Linked DNA regions of Arabidopsis thaliana. The protein of the gene in region 1 interacts with the protein of each later gene in a pairwise test. Each region holds a gene or a part of one and is shown on either strand. Other genes may lie near its edges.

Region 1 (4,062 bases):
GAAAAGAGGGAACTACAGCAAGGTATGCACGAGGAAGAAGAAGAAGAAGAAGAAGAAGAAGAAGAAGAAGAAGAAGAAGAAGAGTGAAGGAAAAGAGAGAAAAAGGCCATTGGGCCCAGAGGTGAACAAGGCCCAATTAAGGGTGGGTCTTGGTTATTAACAAATTTCTAATTAGATTAAGTACAAGAACTACATAATGGTTGTGTTGTTGTAAGAAAACGATTAAGGAAAGTAAGAAGTAAAAAGAGTTTTCCAACACCTTTTGCTTCTTCATCAAACATTGGATTTTTTTCATGTTATAATCTCAACGATATAAGATTTCAACTGTACATATATACTTTCAAATTTTGATAATATTGTGGCCTCTCGAGGTCGAGTTCATGATCGGGTTATGCATAAACAATTGAACGGTGATTTGTTTGAACGTTGAATAAATATGATACAAATTTAATAAGAAACAAACTAGCAATTAATCGTTATATATATATAATTAAATTGTTGGTAACAGAATTAAACATTTAAACATGTTATTCATCTCATTCAAGACAAATTAAACAAATACATTCAAACGGATAACTTTGATAGTTAACAACTCGATGGAAATTTTACAGACATTGAGAATGTGTGATACATCAACATTATGTATTTTTCTTACAATTTTCGCAGGTAATAGCTCACTAGTTAGTGATTATACACATCAAGCATACATGCTAACGACCTAGATAATCTCGTACGTATACGGACTAAATAGTTAATCTAGAAATTTAGGAGTTACTGCAAAAAAACTAATCCTAGGAGGCAGAGTTTCCAACGGATAAAAAGTCGAAGAATGGAACATGACTTTCATGTTTGGTGTCCGAGTCACTGCGTTTGCTTTGACCTGAATCTTGATCTATAATCTCGCTCTTGTTTGAATCTGTGTTTACTTGTAGAAAATTGTAGAACTCCATAGGCTTTTTACTCTGATTTGCTGCGATCCAAACGATAAAAGAAGGACGAAATTATAAGCTATGTGGATTGCAACTATGTTAAATATATAGAGATGACTTCATGTAATGACGGAAACAATATATGATGATGAGTACAAGAAAAAACATGCAACTAATTTTGTCACATAATTTTGAAGTTCATTAGAAAAATGATTATGCAAATGAAAAAGTCGGCTAAACTCTTTGAAAAGTAAAAAAATTCGGCTAAACTTCATTTCAAAATTTTGGAACATATATACCTTTTTCATCAATAATCCGTGCAAGACTCATATACATGCAAACACATCTATAGAAAATGGATCCTTCTCCATCATTTTGAGTTTACCTTTGTGATTTAAAGCGATCTTTCCGGTGAAAAACTCCTTTAGGAAGTGAAGATGATTGATATGAGAGAATTTGTAAGGGAAATTTATAAAGTCTGCTGGAAATATTTTCTTCCGATCATCGGAACTATAATTATGATTATAACCACCAGAACTCATCATGATTTGTTCACTCGCCATTAAAGAAGAAGACGAAGTCGTCGAGGGAAGAAGACGAGGCTTAGAGGTTTGGCGTGTGCGACGAGCCATGATGACGTGCCAATGGTTCTTGACGGCGTTATCAGTTCTTCCAGGGAAAAGCCTTGCGATGATGGACCATCTGTTCCCATGGATCCGATGAGCCGCTAAAAGTCTTTCTTCTTCTTCTTCCGTGAAAGGGTTTCGGTTGATCCTTGGATCCAATTGATTAAACCATCTCAATCTACAACTCTTACCTGCATATATACACCAATACAATTAATTCATATGTATATATATATCAAAGTATCAAAATTAACCCTAGCTAGTTTTGTATATATGGACAAACCCTAGAAGATATCAATTACCAGAGCGACCAGGAAGCTTGAGAGCAATGGCGTTCCAATTGTGAGGACCGTATTGTTCGACAAGATCCTTGAGCTTCTCGTCTTCAGCTGGTCTCCAATGGCCTCGGCTGCACATGATCATTTTTCTTCTTCACGCCGATCTATTTAATTACGTAATTAACTAAGTATACCGATCCAAACCAATACAAGAACAAAGAAAAAGAAAAACACACAGATTCTATATCAATAACGCACGCAAAAAATTTGTTGTGTTCATGTATTTTATGTACATATATAAGAAATTAAAACCCTAAGTTTTTTTTTTCTTGGGAAAAGGTTGGGGAAGATGGGTATGTGGGAACAAGAAGAAAGCTGAAGAGCACCTGCACGTATATATATACATAGTCTATATTATTGCGAGTATATATATAATATACATTTTATGTCTTCTTCTTTTTTTTCGTCTAATATACATTTTATGTCTTTACCAAAAGAAAATATATATATATATATATATATATACATTTTATATGATGAAAATTAAAATAAAATAAAACAAAATCCGTTAGAGAGTCGGGAGGGTTTGGACGGACCTCTCTACCGGCGACTGATGCCAACGTCTTCCCTAACCAACAAAACACCCCCTTCTACGTAATCTACCTTTTTCTTTCCTTTATTTTACAACTAGGATTTTATTTAGTTATAATAATTATAGAATATATAATATCGTAGAAAATAAGAGCATAGACTAGAGATTGCTTGGTGTGGGCAGGATTTCGTTAGCCTCTCAACGTCTCTTCGTATAGTATTAATTTAAGGTTTGTTGTTTCTAAGTTCTAACCTACACCCGCTACTTCAAGCCACCAATACTCATCTACGTTTCTGTAATCTTGGCAAGCTACGTATTCACATATAATAAATATCGATATCCTACACTGACAAAAATTTATTTCATGTATCAAATATCGTCCATAATAATTAAAGATAAATATTTTCAGACCTAATCAACGTTTTTTCTAAGCCTTAATTAGGAATATATCGTCCAAAGTGGAGACAATACAACTAACTTTTTCTTTGCAATTTTACAATGGGTATTTTCTTATAAACTGTAAATAAAATAGAAGGTGTATACAATTGAATCAAGTGATGAAATATATTAGCAAAAATTTTATTCTCATGTGGTCAATCATTTTAGTCGTAAACAAATAAAAAAGGTGGTCAAATATTTGGTCTCCAAGCACGTCTCTCTTGTCCAAAACGGAACTTTATAGGTTTCGGACATTCAGGACTAAAAACAGAATCAGTTACATTGAATGTTCCGTGGGACTAATTAGAACATTTCTTCAAAAAAAAAAAATCTGTAAGCAAAAACCAAAATAATTGCTGGTAAAGTTTAGTAGGAAAATAAAATAAAACAGAGAGTTAGTTGGGAAAGAAAGCCAATAATCAACTTCATTTGTTCTATCGGTAGTTAGGAGAGAAGCCTTCTTCAGTTTCGACTTTCGAACCTATCATAACTAAACTTAACCTATTTTCGTCGCAAAATGACCTATTTCAACTAAACCGGATCCTGATTACACTAAACCGGTCAAATATTATATACCAGTGGGCTTTTTATTTTACAACTGTATGGGTACTTCATCACCAAAGGCTGACAGACCAACTGTGTCATGTCTTTAGACTTCTTCAGCAAGAGTTCCTGAGACTTGAACCTGTTACCAGAACTGAACGATGAACCGACACTGTTCTAGCATCATAATGTTTCAAGAATCTCACATCAAACTCGAGAATCAGAGAGCAAGAGCAGAAGATAAACCATAATAGTCATGAACCATAAGGAAAACAAGCCTCTCACATTGCTAAGGATCATACAAAGTTCGGCTCTATCTCTATGTATGCAATGGTCAATACAATGACTTTAAACGAACACGTTAAACATATTGTGAGCTGTGAGAGCCTTTTCAAAGAAACCAACATAACCATTAGACAATAGACCTGGATAGGTATCTTTGCTTTCGAAACCATGCTTATTGGTCCAGAATTAGAGAGACTGTGATGGATGAAATTTCACCAGGGATCATAGTCACGAAGAGCTCCTCTCTAGGCAACAGAATCATCGCACCACTGAAAATGGTTCTTTGTTTTAGTATGATGATATGGTCCAACAGTTTTCAGTTCACATTACTTCCCTCTGAGTTTTGTACTCTTTCTCTTCTCACTGAGTGC
Region 2 (4,461 bases), on another chromosome or scaffold:
TTTAAAAACCATGGATTTTTAATTGAACATGAAAAGAATAGTTTTTGTTTGAGTTGAAGAAATTATGTAATACTAGAATCACATGATTAATTATGTATTTATACCTGAAAGACATTGATGAGAGGAGTATTGACAATGTATGGATTGTGAGTGTAAATCCCTTGAAGCTCATGATCCAATCCATATCTCTCAAATGATTGTTTCACGGTAACATTAAAGGCTAAAGTGTCATTAATCATTAATTCAAGTGGCCAAGTGAGCCTAACACAATTGAATCCCATGTCTTTTATCTTTTTCGATATTGAATCCATTGGCTGGCTGCTCAGCCCCTCTGCTACCACTGGCTTGAGGTGCGAAGGCCAGTTCGCGCAAGCTAGCTTCACGCGGTGGCCCTTGTTGTTTACGATCCATCGAGACTTTGTGAATAGTGGATAATCTGTTGCTAGGGTTAGAGATATTAATGACAAGAATAAGAACAAAAAGACAGTTAAAGCGATTGCTTTTGCCATGCTTATTTCGTTGTGACTGTGTTTTAGGAAGATCATTAAGTATATATAGAGAGTGAAATCAAGGGTTTTTGTCACAATGATAGGGGATTTGTTGAGTTTCTTTTGTAAGATAATTGACTAAATATTTCAGGGTTGGTTACTTAGTTTGATGATAGGTTTCAAAATGTAAATAAATGAGATATTTACGGAACATTGTGGATAAATATCTTCTTACCACACGTTTTGGATAGTGTAGTTTTTTTTATTGTTCGAATAATTAAGAGGATAATTAGTCAATGGATCATCCGCCTAAAATGTCGAGAAAGTAACTTGGGTAACATTTCAAAACGTATCCGGCCATTAAATAGTCTCGTCATTTATTTGTTTCCCTCAAAATTGCCAATATATCAACGAACGAAGGGTAATATACTAATATATTTAGCTTGTGTATTCATTCGCTAAGTCATATAAAATTACTCGAAACTTTATTTTATACAGGATTATACATTATTTTCACAAAACGGAAAATAATAAGCCATTTGTACTTAGACCAACAAACTAATTCAAGAGTGAAATCTATTTTTATGTTCAGTTCTACTCTATTATAAAAATCTTCTATATATGTAACTATCATGTTTAAAATGATGTTTTTGGTATGGGGAATAAAATTCAATTTACACACATAAAGAAATGAAAACATAATAATAATAAGAAAGCAACGTAATGTTGTAGACGTCTGATACCTAATGTCGACTGCCGCCACATGTCGACCGTGAGGTTGGTCACGTTGTCTCCCTAACTGCAATACTTTGAGCTGTACTTCTATCGGGACCTCTATTTTCTTCTCAAACTTTTTTAAAAATTAGTATTATTTTATACCATTTCGGCAAACAAATTATTAGGAGATAGTATCATTTAAAAAAATAAATATCAAATTTTGTCAGTAAAATTATTACAGTATGTCACGTTAACTAGTTAAAATTTTGTTATAGAAACAAGATACTTGAAGAAAACGGGCTGTTACTTTCGGAGTTTACAAGTTCCATTTCTCGAGAAGAACTATTTGGGTTATCAATATAGGTCATATGATATGACTAATATCTACTGCAGCACCCAATTTAATAATTCTAGAAACTCTAAATTCAACATTTAGTGGGTATTAAAAAATAGTTTAATAGACTATGACAGTCCATTGGACCATTAAACAAAAACTACACGCCCTTATCAGAGCGACGAATTTTTTGTAACTTGGATCAGAAATTCAATAAAGTTATAGTAATAAAAATGAAATAATTTGGAAAAGAAAGAATAGAGAAGAAAACACATGCGAAATTATAATGGCCTGCCTCTCTTCCTTCTTATCTCTTTTACTTACACTCTCCAGGTCCCTCACTTCCCTCATTGGACCTCTCTAACTCTCCTCTCTTACCTTCTCCTGTTTAAATTCTTCTCCTTTCTTTCCACAATTTCTGTCTAACCAATTCCAACACCAAAAAATTCCATTTCTTGACGATGAAACGAAGCCATCAAGAAACGTCTGTAGAAGAAGAAGCTCCTTCAATGGTGGAGAAGTTAGAAAATGGTTGTGGTGGTGGTGGAGACGATAACATGGACGAGTTTCTTGCTGTTTTGGGTTACAAGGTTCGATCTTCAGACATGGCAGATGTTGCACAGAAGCTTGAACAGCTTGAAATGGTCTTGTCCAATGATATTGCCTCTTCTAGTAATGCCTTCAATGACACCGTTCATTACAATCCTTCTGATCTCTCCGGTTGGGCTCAGAGCATGCTCTCGGATCTTAATTACTACCCGGATCTTGACCCGAACCGGATTTGCGATCTGAGACCAATCACAGACGACGATGAGTGTTGCAGTAGCAATAGTAACAGCAACAAGAGGATTCGACTCGGTCCTTGGTGTGACTCAGTGACCAGCGAGTCAACTCGTTCCGTGGTGCTTATCGAGGAGACAGGAGTTAGACTCGTTCAGGCGCTAGTGGCCTGCGCCGAGGCGGTTCAGCTGGAGAATCTGAGCCTCGCGGATGCTCTCGTCAAGCGCGTGGGATTACTCGCGGCTTCTCAAGCCGGAGCCATGGGGAAAGTCGCTACCTACTTCGCCGAAGCCCTAGCTCGTCGAATTTACCGGATTCATCCTTCCGCCGCCGCCATTGATCCTTCCTTCGAAGAGATTCTTCAGATGAACTTCTACGACTCGTGTCCCTACCTGAAATTCGCTCATTTCACGGCCAATCAGGCGATTCTAGAAGCTGTTACGACGTCGCGTGTCGTACACGTAATCGATCTAGGGCTTAATCAAGGTATGCAATGGCCGGCGTTAATGCAAGCCTTAGCTCTCCGACCCGGTGGTCCACCGTCGTTTCGTCTCACCGGCGTTGGGAATCCGTCGAATCGAGAAGGGATTCAAGAGTTAGGTTGGAAGCTAGCTCAGCTGGCTCAAGCCATCGGCGTCGAATTCAAATTCAATGGTCTAACGACGGAGAGGTTATCCGATTTAGAACCGGATATGTTCGAGACCCGAACCGAATCGGAGACTCTAGTGGTTAATTCGGTTTTCGAGCTTCACCCGGTTTTATCCCAACCCGGTTCGATCGAAAAGCTGTTAGCGACGGTTAAGGCGGTTAAACCGGGTCTCGTAACAGTGGTGGAACAAGAAGCGAACCATAACGGTGACGTTTTCTTAGACCGGTTTAACGAAGCGCTTCACTATTACTCGAGCTTGTTCGACTCGCTCGAAGATGGTGTTGTGATACCGAGTCAAGACCGAGTCATGTCGGAGGTTTACTTAGGGAGACAGATATTGAACTTGGTGGCGACGGAAGGAAGCGATAGGATCGAGCGACACGAGACGCTGGCTCAGTGGCGAAAACGTATGGGATCCGCCGGGTTTGACCCGGTTAACCTCGGATCAGACGCGTTTAAGCAAGCGAGTTTGCTATTGGCGTTATCTGGCGGTGGAGATGGATACAGAGTGGAGGAGAACGACGGAAGCCTAATGCTTGCGTGGCAAACGAAACCTCTAATCGCTGCATCGGCGTGGAAACTAGCGGCGGAGTTGCGGCGGTAGATACGTCGTCATAAAGAGGAGAAGAAAAAAGACTTAGCGAACGTGACCTTATGTTTTTATTTTACTTTAACTTACCCCAGTAGTTTCGTTTTGTGACAATTTCGCCCGAAATATTCCGTGCCTTATACTTTTGGGACCCAGTTGGTTCGTTGGTCGTGGAGATTCGAGAACGAGGAACATGTGTGTATGTAACAACAGCACGAGCAAGTGTTTTCATAGTTTGAATAAATATGAAAGAAATGACGTTTATTTTATTTTTTGTCAACGAATTGACGTTACGTTTAATTTCACCCAAAATATATACAAAATGACGCATGAATGAATTTGGACCGACTCGATTATTACATAGAGGCTAACGTTTCTGGGAGATGATGATGATGATAGAAGTAAAGAAGCTAAACCTCACTTGAGTCTTTTTATTCTGAAAAGCCGGAGTCCAAACTCTACTTTTGGGTTTTTTGAGAGGTTTTCATTGTCAGCTTTTGATCAAGTGGGTGAAACCGTTTTGCTTAGGAATGTGTAAAAGAAAACTTGATATTTACTACTAATTTTATCACCACTTTTGAAAAATACATGTATTCATAGAAAGATATGATAAAGTTGGACCACATTCTCATTCTCTAAACTCACTTTAAACATGGCAATGTTTAAATATCCTCAAGTCTTGGAACATCTTCAGACTTACCATTTCTTGATTTTACCCGTAACAACACTTCAATATCTGAGTAGTCAAGACTAAACAATCCGAACAATATCAGCTTTTGATTTTATATAAATATAACTATATAAGACTTCCTAACAAAGAGGAACATGAGTCCCACAGCCACAGCATGTCGTAATCGATGGATGAGACGGCTGTGTAGGCATAGTTATTGGTTTCTCCGGCTAA
Region 3 (3,067 bases), on another chromosome or scaffold:
AGAAGAGGAGAGAAATGGAATACAAGAATTTGCTGCCTCGAGGATACAAGCAAATGGGCCTGGGCCTTGACAATATCTCATTGGCGACGATAAGTAACACCTTTAAAATGAAACCACGTCACTTTGTGTTGGTCCGTATTACGTAAGCCCATTTATTAGTGAAACGGCACCGTATGACAAATATTACTATTGGATTACCTTTCTTGTTAATCAAAGTTTAAAGTTATCATAAATATCATAACAACTTGATTGATTTTTATATATGCTTACAATTGTGTTTGCTTGTATATTATCTCATGATATATATAATACGTCTAACTATAAAATATAGACTTTTCTTGTCATTGGTCACAATAAACCCAAACCAAATAGATTATAAAAAAAAAAAAAAACACACACACACACACAATTGAAAGACAAAAAATGAAGTAAGATACATAAAAACACACTCACAGTCACGACTGAACTTGATAAGTCTTGCGTTAGCAATATTTTGTTTTACTTTATTTTATTACCAAACAAAATAACGTTTTTACTTTTCAAAAAAATTCTGATTTACTTGTGAAGCAAGTAAGATGCCTCTTCCTGCCTTTCTATACGTGCTCCTTCTCCGTTAATTTTTCTCAGTCGTCTTCTTGGTAGATGCTTCCTCTCCGTTCTTTGTGCCACGTCTTGCTGATCTTCTTCCGACAAACTCAGCCGCCGCATCGTTGTAAGCCTTAGCCGCCATCTCCGCTGTTGGAAACGTTCCAAGCCATCTCCTTACTTTCAAACTCGGATCCCATATCTCCGCCGCCCATTTACCTGATGGTTTATGAAAGTACATCAACTGCATGCTAACGTATTGGAACATAGTTTACCTCATGGGCTCGTGGCTTATATATATATGAAAATACATGAACTAAAACTAGCTAGTACTAGAAAAACTCAAAGCTTGTATTAGAATAGAACTTACCTGATGGTTTTTTCCTCACTCCTTTGTGCTTCTTCTCCTTCTTAATTATCGCCTCGTGTCGTGGGAAGACGCAACCGTAGCAGCCGGTGACACTACAAAGAGGACAAGGGCCAGCGTTCAAAGGTGGAAGATCAGCTTCCCATGCATTCGAGTTCGTGTCACCTCCGACGTTGGATATTACTTGTTGCAAAGCAGAGACCATGATCACATGTTCTTGATCTCTCGTCAAATTAGGAGTGAAATTGATGTTTTGATCGTAAGAGGGAACATTTTCTGAATTTTCCATTTCCGCGGAGTCGTTGAACTGAAAATAATTCGTTGCTCACGGTCACTGAGAAGTGTTGAAAGTGTTGTGAAGATTTCAAAAGAAACTACTGACGAGTAAGCAAAAAAAGGTTTATATGGTACTAGACTACTAGACATATGGTCCCATGCAAATCTTTAGATACGCGGCACCAATTAGTGTTGTTTTTTTCCTTTGAGAACGATACATCTGTTCAGTAGATATTTATTTTCTGCAAAAGCGATTGCTATATTTATTCGATACACTACTTACTAATTATTATTAGTCTTGACACCGAGTAAACCAAATATACTTCTTAGTCAAGATATTTTCAACTACCTTATTTAAGTCAAAATACAGTTGGATCCTATTATATAATGGTTTATTTTGTAATCTGGACTGCAAATATACACATTTTTTTAGTGTTTAAAAGTTGAGTTTCATTCGTAACAATTGGATAGGTGTAATTTCATTGTTTTAAAAATCATTTTATATTTTGCAATACTTTTTCATAGGTTAATACGATGGTTGTATACTTGTATGTATCAGTCCTTGGATTAATTTTGCCCAATGACATTCTATCTATAATACTTTGTTCTATCCTTTTTGCTCTTTTTTTTTTCTATCTTATATATCTAATCTACTCTTTTGATTTAGCATTACATTGTGCAACGCTATACAAAATGGAACCATATGTTTTCGAGCTTTTTGAAATATTTTTGGGGGTTATTTCTGTTCTGTTAAGATATATTTCATTTGCAGTGCTGGTTTTGGTTTCTGTACAAACAGTGAGTCAATAATTAAGGAAACAAGGTACTCATATTCCAGTGCTTTAAGTCTTTATTCATATACCAAGTTGTTATGAGAGTCTCCCTTTGAATATCCCCGGTCATCACTTTCATATTTTGTATTTTTTTTCTTTGATTTAATTATATACAGTTCAAGACAAATTTAGTTAACTAAAATGAGACAGTTAATTGCTTTCAATTTCATGTTTCACTGATGATAACGTAAACAGAATAATGAGTAAAACAAAGTAAAAATGCAGAGAACCGAAACAGAGTATTCCTATTACGATAATTTGATATAACGTTCATAAAACGCGATATCAACTTCTCACCTACAAGAGTCTCGACGAAAGAGCTTCGGTAAAACGATGAGGGAAATCTAGAAGTCTCTAGAAATAAAATACAACCAGATTATTCGCATAAGAAAGCATGAACATAACATGTTGCTTTTTATACTAAAAGGTAAAGAAAGTAAACGTTAATAATGATCACCGTCAATGTCAAGTTGCCAGCTCAAAACACACACGTGCATTCCTTTTTGCTCTTGACTTCACATGTGTGATCTTGACTTTCTAGAATACTATATCATTGACTAAATAAGAAACCAACACAAAAAGAGTTTTCGAAGCGGAATACACAGATTGGACTCGGATACGAGGATACGACAAAAAACAAGAAACCCTACAAATTACTATTGATGAGGTTCTTTGTATATATAGTGGTTGTTGCATACCATCATCTCCTTTTCGTTTCTATATATCATAAACTTTCTTTATGTCTCAAATAAAAGCTCTGTATGGTATTGGTCTTCTTGAGCAAGTCATTTATAGATGACAAAATATTCATGCTTTGTTCTTAGCGATTTCTGTATCGATCGCTTCAATTTTACCTATGAAATTGTTTATACAAGATTTTTTTTTTTAAAAAAGCAACCAAGCGGTAGTGGTTTTCACTGAGGAGAAATTTTTTGTAGGTTTAATATATGGATCGAATCATTTCAAACGTAAAATTTACTAAATTATTCCAGTTAATCCGTCGAAC

The links. The genes of interacting proteins can lie anywhere in the genome.
Region 2: the proteins of MYB54 (region 1) and RGL3 interact in binary tests that used the Arabidopsis thaliana proteins (3 or more experiments, as listed by UniProt).
Region 3: the proteins of MYB54 (region 1) and AT2G20350 interact in binary tests that used the Arabidopsis thaliana proteins (3 or more experiments, as listed by UniProt).

What each region holds. Positions count from the first base shown.
Region 1 is NC_003070.9:27,599,768-27,603,829, reverse strand, and holds MYB54 (myb domain protein 54), read right to left. Parts: upstream 2,238-4,062; 5' UTR 1,979-2,237; coding exon 1,858-1,978; intron 1,747-1,857; coding exon 1,315-1,746; coding exon of another isoform or gene 1,256-1,314; exon of another isoform or gene 971-1,255; coding exon 792-970; 3' UTR 513-791; downstream 1-512. Other genes in the region: AT1G73400 (Pentatricopeptide repeat (PPR) superfamily protein), read right to left, coding at 4,018-4,062. UniProt on the Arabidopsis thaliana protein: Transcription factor that regulates secondary cell wall (SCW) biosynthesis, especially in interfascicular and xylary fibers.
Region 2 is NC_003076.8:5,763,427-5,767,887, reverse strand, and holds RGL3 (RGA-like protein 3), read left to right. Parts: upstream 1-1,641; 5' UTR 1,642-2,000; coding exon 2,001-3,572; 3' UTR 3,573-3,899; downstream 3,900-4,461. Other genes in the region: AT5G17500 (Glycosyl hydrolase superfamily protein), read right to left, coding at 105-509. UniProt on the Arabidopsis thaliana protein: Probable transcriptional regulator that acts as a repressor of the gibberellin (GA) signaling pathway. No effect of the BOI proteins on its stability.
Region 3 is NC_003071.7:8,782,943-8,786,009, reverse strand, and holds AT2G20350 (Integrase-type DNA-binding superfamily protein), read right to left. Parts: upstream 1,242-3,067; coding exon 956-1,241; intron 805-955; coding exon 614-804; 3' UTR 563-613; downstream 1-562.